Sus scrofa: one gene and its partner. The protein of the gene in region 2 purifies or fractionates together with the protein of the main gene of each other region. This does not show direct contact. Links are inferred from orthologs where the notes say so. Each region holds a gene or a part of one and is shown on either strand. Other genes may lie near its edges. The genes, in order: FBXW11 and NUAK1.

Region 1 (4,438 bases), on a different chromosome or scaffold from region 2:
TAGAGGTCATTTATTCCAATCCCTTTATTTAACTAATGAATGTCTCAAAGCCTAGAGAGGCAAAGGGGTCTGGTGAAATTCAGACACCATGTTAGGAATAATAGCTTTTTAATTCTGTGTTCTTCCTATTGCTTTTCTTTCAATTCCCTAAGTAGAAAGCATCGGATAAGGGCCATTAAACTTAAAACTGTATTGAACAGAACTTACACTGTGTCCTGCATGCATACAAATTACTGTAGCAATTCGGTGCTTGGAAATGGAAAGACTTAGAGGTCATCTAGTCCCTTCCCTTTACAGGTGCAGAAAATGCAAAACACTTGAGAAAGAGAACAGTAGCCTTTGACATTTGGCAGCTGGCCTGATACAATCAAACAGGCAGTAATGTTACTAGATGATAGCCTGGTCCTCTTAGCTAGGCCTCGTGTTTTCTTGTTGAACCTAATTTCATAGAACATAAATGTTAGACAAAGCCATTCTATGGCCATGATAGACCAATACAAAAGCGAAACCACTCCTAATTAAATCTGAACACAGATCAAACAGGGACATTGTTCAAACCACAAAAAATGACCAAATAGCCCTTATTCTGGTAATGAGGGACTCCTGCTTCTCTACCAATCAGGACTTCAGCCTCGTCTAGTAGTCCTTCCGTCTAGATAACATTTACTGAGATGCCCAATCATAAAATTACCTCCACTTTCTGACAGCATCTTATCCAGGGTAAAGTCCCACTTTCTTAAACCCTCATCCAAATCACCTGACAACTCCTCCTGAGATGCCCCACAGTTCTTCATGGTGTGTGTTCTCTCTCTCTGCAACCAGCAATAAACCCAACCTGTTAATTCTCAGCGGGCCTTTGTCGTCTTTGGTTTGAGGTTACTGACAGACCTGATAAGGTTTATACCGAGCTGGAGGCAGAATTCACTGGGCATCTCCAGCTGTGTTCCTTCTTATGGTTAATGTCTGTCTTCCCCCTACCAGAATTACGCTGCGTGAGAAGAGAAGCCTTGTCTGTAGGGATCAGAGCTGATTCCCAGGGCCTAGGCTAGTGACGAGCAGAGGCTGGAAGTTTAAAAGATACTTTCTAAACGAATGAATAATAGGTTCTCTTTCACCTCTCAGTTCCTCCCAGTACGTGGTGCACAGAGACCACAAAACTCCTCTTTCTCAACTAAATTTCCAAACCCCTCTTGGGACGCCACTCTTGGGACGCCCATGCTCTCAGAGCCTCCTTCTCTGCCCGAGCTCTCTCGCTCGCTGGCCCCCCTCCGACACTTGAGCCCCAAGACCATCCCTTCCTAGAACCCACCTGTCGCCAACACCTCACCCTGCCACAGAGGCCAGACCAACCGTGCCGTTACTTAGGTGTCGAGCGGGCACTGCAGGCACAGACCGCGCATGTGCGGAAATCGGTCGCGCACGCAGGATCGCTGGCAAGTGAAGAGTTGCCTTGGAGTTTCCGTCCGGGTCCGGGGAGCCTCGGGCTGCCAGGAAGTCAGAAGAAACTAGCCGGAAAGAGAACCCGCGCGCAGGGCTTTCTGGGATATGTAGTAGGCGCGCACCTGAAGCCCCACCTTGAGGAAGCCCGTAATTCTTTAGGTCTGCACGTCTCTCATTCGCAGTCCCGTGCTACTTTCGGCTGAGAATTCAGCTTCGGACGGCTAGGAGAGATTGGTCTGGCGGGGTCTTCTCGTTCCCACAACGCTCTGCGGGACCCGCGGCGCCTGCCGGGAGCTGTAGTCCTCGCTCTGCGTACTGCGTTCGCCGAGGGGGAGGGCGGAGCTGCCGGCGGCCCGGGCGGGCTGGCAGCTAGAGTGGGTGCGATAGCCGCCTCCGCCTCTGCCGCCTCCGCCGTCGCCTCCTCCGCCCGGGCCGTTCGCTGCTGCGCGGGGAGAGCGAGGCGGGGCCGCCAGGGCCGCCATGGAGCCCGACTCGGTGATTGAGGACAAGACCATCGAGCTCATGGTGAGTGCGGCCCGCTGGACCGTCCGTTCTTCCGTCCGTCCGGCCCCGGGCGGGCCTGCCCATCTCAACGTCCGGCGCGAGGCCGGCCCTGGCCCTTCCCCGCTGCCTCGGCCCGAACCTGGGCCCTCCGGCCCGGCGCGCTTTACTCCGGATCCCTCGAGATCTCAGGCCGGACCTGGTCCGGCCCCCTCCATGCCCCTCGGTTTTCCTCCCTCCCTCCCTTCTCTCCTGTCTCTGGGCCCATCCCTGGAACGACCCTCGCTCGCTTGTGCTGTGGCCTTAGCTCACACTCGCTCAAGCATCTCCTTCCTCCCTTAGAAGGGGTTTTCTGTTTTTTCTTTTTCTAATTCTCCGGCCAGGCCTGCATCGCTCTTGCAAGCCCCACTCAGGCCGAGTGAGATGGTGATGGGAGGGGGTACAGAGAAGATCGACCTGGGGTCTCGGCCTCTGCGTCCTAGAAGGGGTCTCTCAGCACCCTCTTCTCAAGCCAGGGCTGTGTGGATGCCGGCATAGGCCCTACAGGGGTGGAGGTGGGGAGCTCTCGGGTTTGAGGCTGTGACCGATAAGGGGCCTCTTTCCTGGGCCCCTGTGGTGTCCGGCTTCTCGGACAAAGGGTTTCCTACCCGGCCGAGAGGGATGTTTGGATAGCGAGGCCCCAGGTACTCTGGATTCCATCTCCCAGGAAAGAGACACTGTAACTTCACGTTTTCCAGAGCCGCTCTGGGAAATTGGGGAGGGGGAAGAGGGCTTGTCCTCATCTGCGCCGCCAGTTCTTTCTTCTAGAAAAGGAGTAGGAGAGAATCCTAGGCCCCTGGGAAATCGATCACTCTTCTGTTAGAAACCTTTGGTACCCAGGCCAGACCCTCTGGCCCCACGAATCCCAACCCCCCCTCCGCCTTGGGACTTGGAGCCTAAGGTTTTTAGAAACAGGGCCACGAGAGAGTGGCTAGTAGAAACGAAGAACTTGCTCTTTGGTGGATGACTTGGTGGAAGAAATAAAATATGATAGCTATTACCTGCCAATTGGAATACTAGGGAAATCAAACTGGGCTCTGGAGAGCTGGGAGGGGAAGCTCTTTGCCTCAGCAAATGGACAGGCCCAGGCTTTCTTCCTGTGGAAATCTTGACAGTTTCTTTGTATCTCTTCTAATACAGTAACAACTTCTACTCTAAGGTTGAGAGGAAAGGTGAAAGAATCTACTTAACACAGCAAAACGTTTTCCTAGCCAGATTTTCTCCAGTGTGAAAATGTTTATTGAGTCAGTGATTCCACTGGGTAGGGTCGGTGACATCAGAGCCACTTCCCCCATTTAATGCTATAAATAATAAATGGTGACATTGAAAGTCTGTTGGATAGCTGCATGGTGTCTGTGGATGATGGTATCTGGGGAGTTGAGGTGCATGTTTTAAAAATGGAAGTACAGTAGCATAAATATGGAGGCAGCTTAATATTTGCTGTCCTTTGCATAATTCACTAGACTTCTTCAGCAGTCTTGAAAACTAGAGGGGAAAAAAAGCTCTGGTAGTTTCTGGGGTGTGTGTGTGCGTGCGCGCACTGGTGTGGTTGCTTTCTAAGGGATACTGTCACCATAAGTTTGATTTTCATTTATTAAGTAATTTATTAAGTAATTTTTCCTTTCAGTAAAGTTTATCAAACTTTTGTAATCAAGCCTTTGATAATCTGCAAATTTTGTAAGGGGTTATTTTAGTAAAATATCTTAACTGGAATTGCATATATAGTATATATGCTTACATGTATGTGTAATACATGTATTTACAACAGGAGTGCTTCATATCGAAAATTGTAACTTGGGGGGAGTTCTCGTCGTGGCGCAGTGGTTAACGAATCCGACTAGGAACCATGAGGTTGCGGGTTCGATCCCTGCCCTTGCTCAGTGGATTAAGGATCCGGCGTTGCCGTGAGCTGTGGTGTAGGTCGCAGACACGGCTCGGATCCAGCATTGCTGTGGCTCTGGCGTAGGCTGGCAGCTACAGCTCCAATTAGACCCCTAGCCTGGGAATCTCCCATATGCCGCGGGAGCGGCCCAAGAAATGGCAAAAAGACAAAAAAAAAAAAAAAAGAAAAAGAAAATTGTAACTTGGTACCTCTTTGAAAGTGTTCAGTGCTCCTTCCATTTACATGCCATTAAAACAATAACTAAAATGTCTTTATTTTGAAGAGAATTAGAAATGAATACAGTGTAATCCATTTAGTGTTTTGAGTGGATGTAGAAAAAAAAAAATCTCTGACCTAAATATACTGGTTTCCTATGCTTATAAATTGAAAAAGTTTTGATTTTACATAATTGTGTCTGTGATCTGAAAAGATATTTCAGCTCTTTCAAGGGCTTTACAAACTGGGATTCTTAAGATAGTTTAACAAAAAAATTTAACAGCTATCTAGATCAATTTTAAAATGCCTTTTCATATATGGATTTTGATACTCCCTCAAAGAGCTACCAGTTAAGACTCT
Region 2 (4,467 bases):
CAGTGTTAACAGGCCATTACTCTGGCAGCAGGGAGGGGGTTAACACTCAGGACTTGCTGTTGCTGGAGTCCAGGGTAGGGTGATAAGGGGTAGACAGGAGTGAAGACAGCAGGAATGCAGAAGGGATGAACCTGAGGGCTGCAAGCCCCACTCACAGGTGAAAAAGTAAAGAACCACCAAGCCATCTGTAGAATGCACCAGGCATGCTTCATACCCCACTCTTCCCATCCCAGTCTGGTATACTGCACCAGTTACAGGAAAAAAAAAAAAAAATCCCATAGGCCCTCTTTTTCTCTTGCCTTCTTCCTTATTTTCCGTTGAGGCTTCTGAGAAGAATGAGAGGGGCAGTCCTGCTGCAGTCCTAGGCCCTTCCTGCCTGACCCTCGCTGATGGGGGTGGGGTGCCTGGTACCATCTTCAGAATCTGGCCATTTCAGTTAAACTCCAAAGGCCCAAGGGGCCTAAGAGTCATCTCTTGCTCAGCAGGCCCCAGGCCCTGCTCCATTCAAGGTCCCTGGCCTGTCCATCTCCAAAAGCAGCCTTAGCGGGCAGGACGGGCACCCAGGTGCAACCTGGTGCCGTTAGCGCCCCAACTCTTCTCCTCTCCCAGGGGTGGACGTCCTGGATGGTGTCAGAAGGCCGGCAGTCTGGCGGCGGCGGGGCCCCAGGTTCAGCCTCCGAGCCTCCCTTCCTCCCCGATTCAGCCTTTCAATCGGGAAGGGAGCGGGGCCGGGGTCAACGCGCCCCCTGGGGGTTCTCCAAGGCGCGCAGCTGTCCGGGGCGAGCAACCCTAGCCCCGGCCTGGGTAGGGGCCTGAGAGGCTGGGGTGCCAGCCCCCGCCGGGCGGGAGGGGGAGAGCGCCGCGGCGGGGGAGGGGGAGCCGTGACTCACCGCCTGTAACCCTACACCCGCGCTGCTTCCCCTCCCCCAGCCTCTCCCCCGTCTCCGGCCTGGCGGCCGCCGCGACACCCAAAACAAAATGAACGGGCGCCCGAGCCCGCGGCGCCCCACGCCGGATCGCGAGCGGGTCTCGGCGGCCCCGGGCTCCGAGCACTCCGGCCGGCCCGGCCCTGGACCTCGGCGAGCGCCCGCCGCCGCCGCCGCCCAGGCGGGAGCAGGAAGGGAGGCCGAGCGTCCGGAGCAGGCGTCGGAGGAGGCGTTGGCGGCGGCGGCGGCGGCGGCAGCAGAGGGCTCGCGGTAGCTACGGCTGGCGAGCTCGGGGAGGGGGCGCCTGGGCTGGGAACCACCCCCGTCTCCATCCTGGCCGAGCGAGGACAAAGCCCCCTCGCCGCTAGCGCGGCCTGTTCGGCGCTGCACAAAGGGCGAGTCGCGACACGCACCCATCCCCCCGCAGCTTGGGGCGGCCCCGGCCCCGGAGGCGGCCGCGAGTGGGGGAAGCCCAGGCCGCGCCTCCCCTCGCCCCCTCCCCCGGGGCCGCCCAGCGCACCGCCCCCGCCCCCGCCCCGTCTGCGGGTCCTGCCGGGGAGGGGTTGGGGGGCGCGGCGCCCCACATAACACGCCCCCTCCGGCGCTCGGAGCCACCCCTCTCCCCTCCCTCCTGCGAACACCACCGCCTCCCCTGCCGCCGCCGCCGCCACCTCGCCCGACGCGCCGCAGCTCGCCGCGGCCGGTGGGCGGTGCGCGGATCGTGCGCGCCGGGGGCGCCAGATGTGCAGTCCCCGCCGCCGCCAGTGACCCAGCCGCAGCCCGGGCGGGAGCGGGCTGCTTCCTCAATGCTGCGGGGGCGACCTTGAGCGCGCCCCGGTTTCCCTCCGCGGGCACCCCGACACCGCGAGCGCTGTGCCCGGTCCTGCCCTGCCCTCTCCTGCCGGGTTCGCCCCGCGTTCGGACATGGAGGGGGCCGCTGCGGCCGCGGCCGGGGACGGCCCGGACTTGGGGCTGGGGACGCCGGGCTCTCCCCCGGAGGCGGGGGCGGGGGCGACCGCAGCCCCCGCGGCGGCGGCCCCGGAGCCCAGGAAGCCGCACGGGGTGAAGCGGCATCACCACAAGCACAACTTGAAGCACCGCTACGAGCTGCAGGAGACCCTGGGCAAAGGCACCTACGGCAAAGTCAAGAGGGCCACCGAGAGGTTTTCGGGCCGAGTGGTGAGTTGGGGGGAAGCCCGGGGGGCTTGGGGCTAGACGCAACCGGGGACGGAGCCAGCGTGCGATGGGGTCTGGGGCACGGAGGGGATCACTTGTCCGCGAGGGGGCTTCCCGGGAACCCCCACCCCCGCCCCTCTGGCGGATTCCTGACTCTCCCACCAGCTCCCCGTGGCTCAGGCGTGTCTTTCTCCCTGAACACTTGTTACATCCTGTCTGCGCATATTTTGGGGGTTTTGATCCCAGCAGCAAAGTAGTGTTTATGATTTGCCAACACTTTGCAACGTCGGGACCGTTGGGGTCTCCCTCGAAGTCACGCATTCATGCCCTGGAATGCCTATTGCTCTGACTCCAGAGCCACATCCTCAGCTTGGGGTTGGTTCCCCAAGTCCCGCGTCCAGTAGATGAATGGGACCCTCCCCCTCCTTCCCGGCATCATCCCACTCGTCTTCCCCTTCTCCCTGATGCCGATGTGCCTGCAACGGAGGGTGGACTCCTGCCTGTTTATAAGAGAGAATGTTAGGGGGGCAAAGTAAAGGCTGCTGCATGGCTGAGGGTTGTGACAGTTTGCGGCTGGCTTCTGGGAGGACTGAATTGCCCAGGGCATGGACAGCCACACAGACGCGGAGTTGCAGACTCAACTGCATTTCAGGCCCTGGCTGCAGGGCTACTGCATTGCTTAAAGGGTCTGGCCCAGCCACCCTGCTCTTTGTGACAGCTGAAACCCTGCCAGGGCCCCAGGACCATTTATATTGCCCCAAGGAGAGGCATGAGTGCTTTGACTTCTCTGTGTTGTCCCAACCTTGGTTTGTTGTCATTTTCCTTTCTGCAAAACAGGCCCTTGAAATCCACACTGCTTGTGGCTAGAGGGTTGGGTTCAAAGTGACTGACTGTTGCAGAAAGATTTTGTGTGGTGTGTGGCAGAAAATTAATATGATTCTTTGATTTGAAGCATATCAAATGGCTTTTAATCGATTTAGGGCCAAAGTCAGGAACTAATTAGGGGACTCCTTGTGTGACTTTGGGGGTGACTCAGGGCCCAGGGTTGCTTATAAACTTAACAGATGACCACAGGGAGAAAGCAAAATGAACTGTGGAACGAAGTGGTATGATGATGTCTTTTGCATTTGTGCAGGGGCAGTTCTGCGGACAAAATGGGGCACTAATCAGAAAGTTCAGCCCCCAAATCCTCAAATATTTGGATACGGGATAACGCCCTCATTCTAAGCTTCACTATTTGGGTTGATACAGCTTTATCCTATAGCTTTAAAAAAGTCTGTTATAGGTTCATTGGACATTTGAGAGATTATACCTTTTATTTTTAAGCTGTCTCCTATCAACAAATTTCTATAGCAAGTAGTTGAGAGGGCAGGTGCCCTTTTGGTAGGTAGAAAATTTACAAGAGGAGATATATGGTTGCAAAGATGTCCTTTGAGGAACACACTTTCAGGTTTGTGGAAGAGGAGGCTGAGAAACGTGCGCTTCATTCATGCTTTTCTTCTGAGGTGATATTCCCCAGGCTGGATGTTGAATAAGCAAAAGCTAAGCTCCTTGCTCATGTTGTCTTAATAGCTGTTGAAGAATCGCGCTGGGAAGTTGGAAAGTGGAATAATGAAAAACAGACGCGGTTTGGGTTGCAGGTTGAGGATGTGAGCTTGTGAGTGGTCAGGGTGTGTCTGGGATCTGTGAGGGGACACAGCCGCCTGAAGGCTGGGGAGCTGCTGCTAACTGAAAGAATGAAGGCTTGTCTTATGGCAGACGTCTTTCTGAGCCTCGCTGGGGCTTCAGGTATTTGTGTAGCTGTCTGATCCATGGTCTAGAGTGAAAGGGATCCCATCAGTAGATGGGAGCCTGCCTTTCTCTTTTGGTGGCTGTCTTTCCCTTTATTTGCAGAAAGTCTGAACATTCCGTCAGGATTTAGTCGAATAGCCACGAGGGGGCGCCCTGAGAACGGAAGAGGCTCATTTCGCTGCAGGATTTGAGTCCTGCTGTTATTGTCCAGTTCTAGTCTCGCTTCCCATTGTGCTATTAATTTCAGCTAAGTCTCTTGTCTTACTCAAAAATTCTGCAAAGATTGCAAATCTGGTGGCAGGTCCACATCCAGAAGCTGGCAATCCCCAGACTGCTTTCTGCATGATAGATGAGCCTAGGCTGTTAGCAAAATCATCTGGTTGAAAACGCTGCATTAAGCAGATGGGAAAACTGAGGTTGGGTGAAGGGAAGACCTCCTTGGCCTTGAGTCCTCCCCCTGCTGAGCACACTGCTCACAGATGGTGTAAGAACTTCAGTGAGAAACAGAAATTGTCAGGTGGAAAATTCTCTGCGCCTGACTGAACAGAAAAATAAAACAAACACCCAAAAAATT

The links.
Region 1: the proteins of NUAK1 (region 2) and FBXW11 purify together in Homo sapiens (affinity purification with mass spectrometry; 4 studies listed by BioGRID and IntAct, counting the BioPlex papers as one, with this or other methods). This does not show direct contact. The link is inferred for Sus scrofa from reciprocal best matches to the Homo sapiens genes NUAK1 and FBXW11.

The regions. Positions count from the first base shown.
Region 1 is NC_010458.4:52,210,886-52,215,323, forward strand, and holds the start of FBXW11 (F-box/WD repeat-containing protein 11), read left to right. Parts: upstream 1-1,515; 5' UTR 1,516-1,920; coding exon 1,921-1,965; intron 1,966-4,438.
Region 2 is NC_010447.5:14,100,355-14,104,821, forward strand, and holds the start of NUAK1 (NUAK family SNF1-like kinase 1), read left to right. Parts: upstream 1-1,623; 5' UTR 1,624-1,850; coding exon 1,851-2,105; intron 2,106-4,467. UniProt on the Homo sapiens protein: Serine/threonine-protein kinase involved in various processes such as cell adhesion, regulation of cell ploidy and senescence, cell proliferation and tumor progression. Phosphorylates ATM, CASP6, LATS1, PPP1R12A and p53/TP53.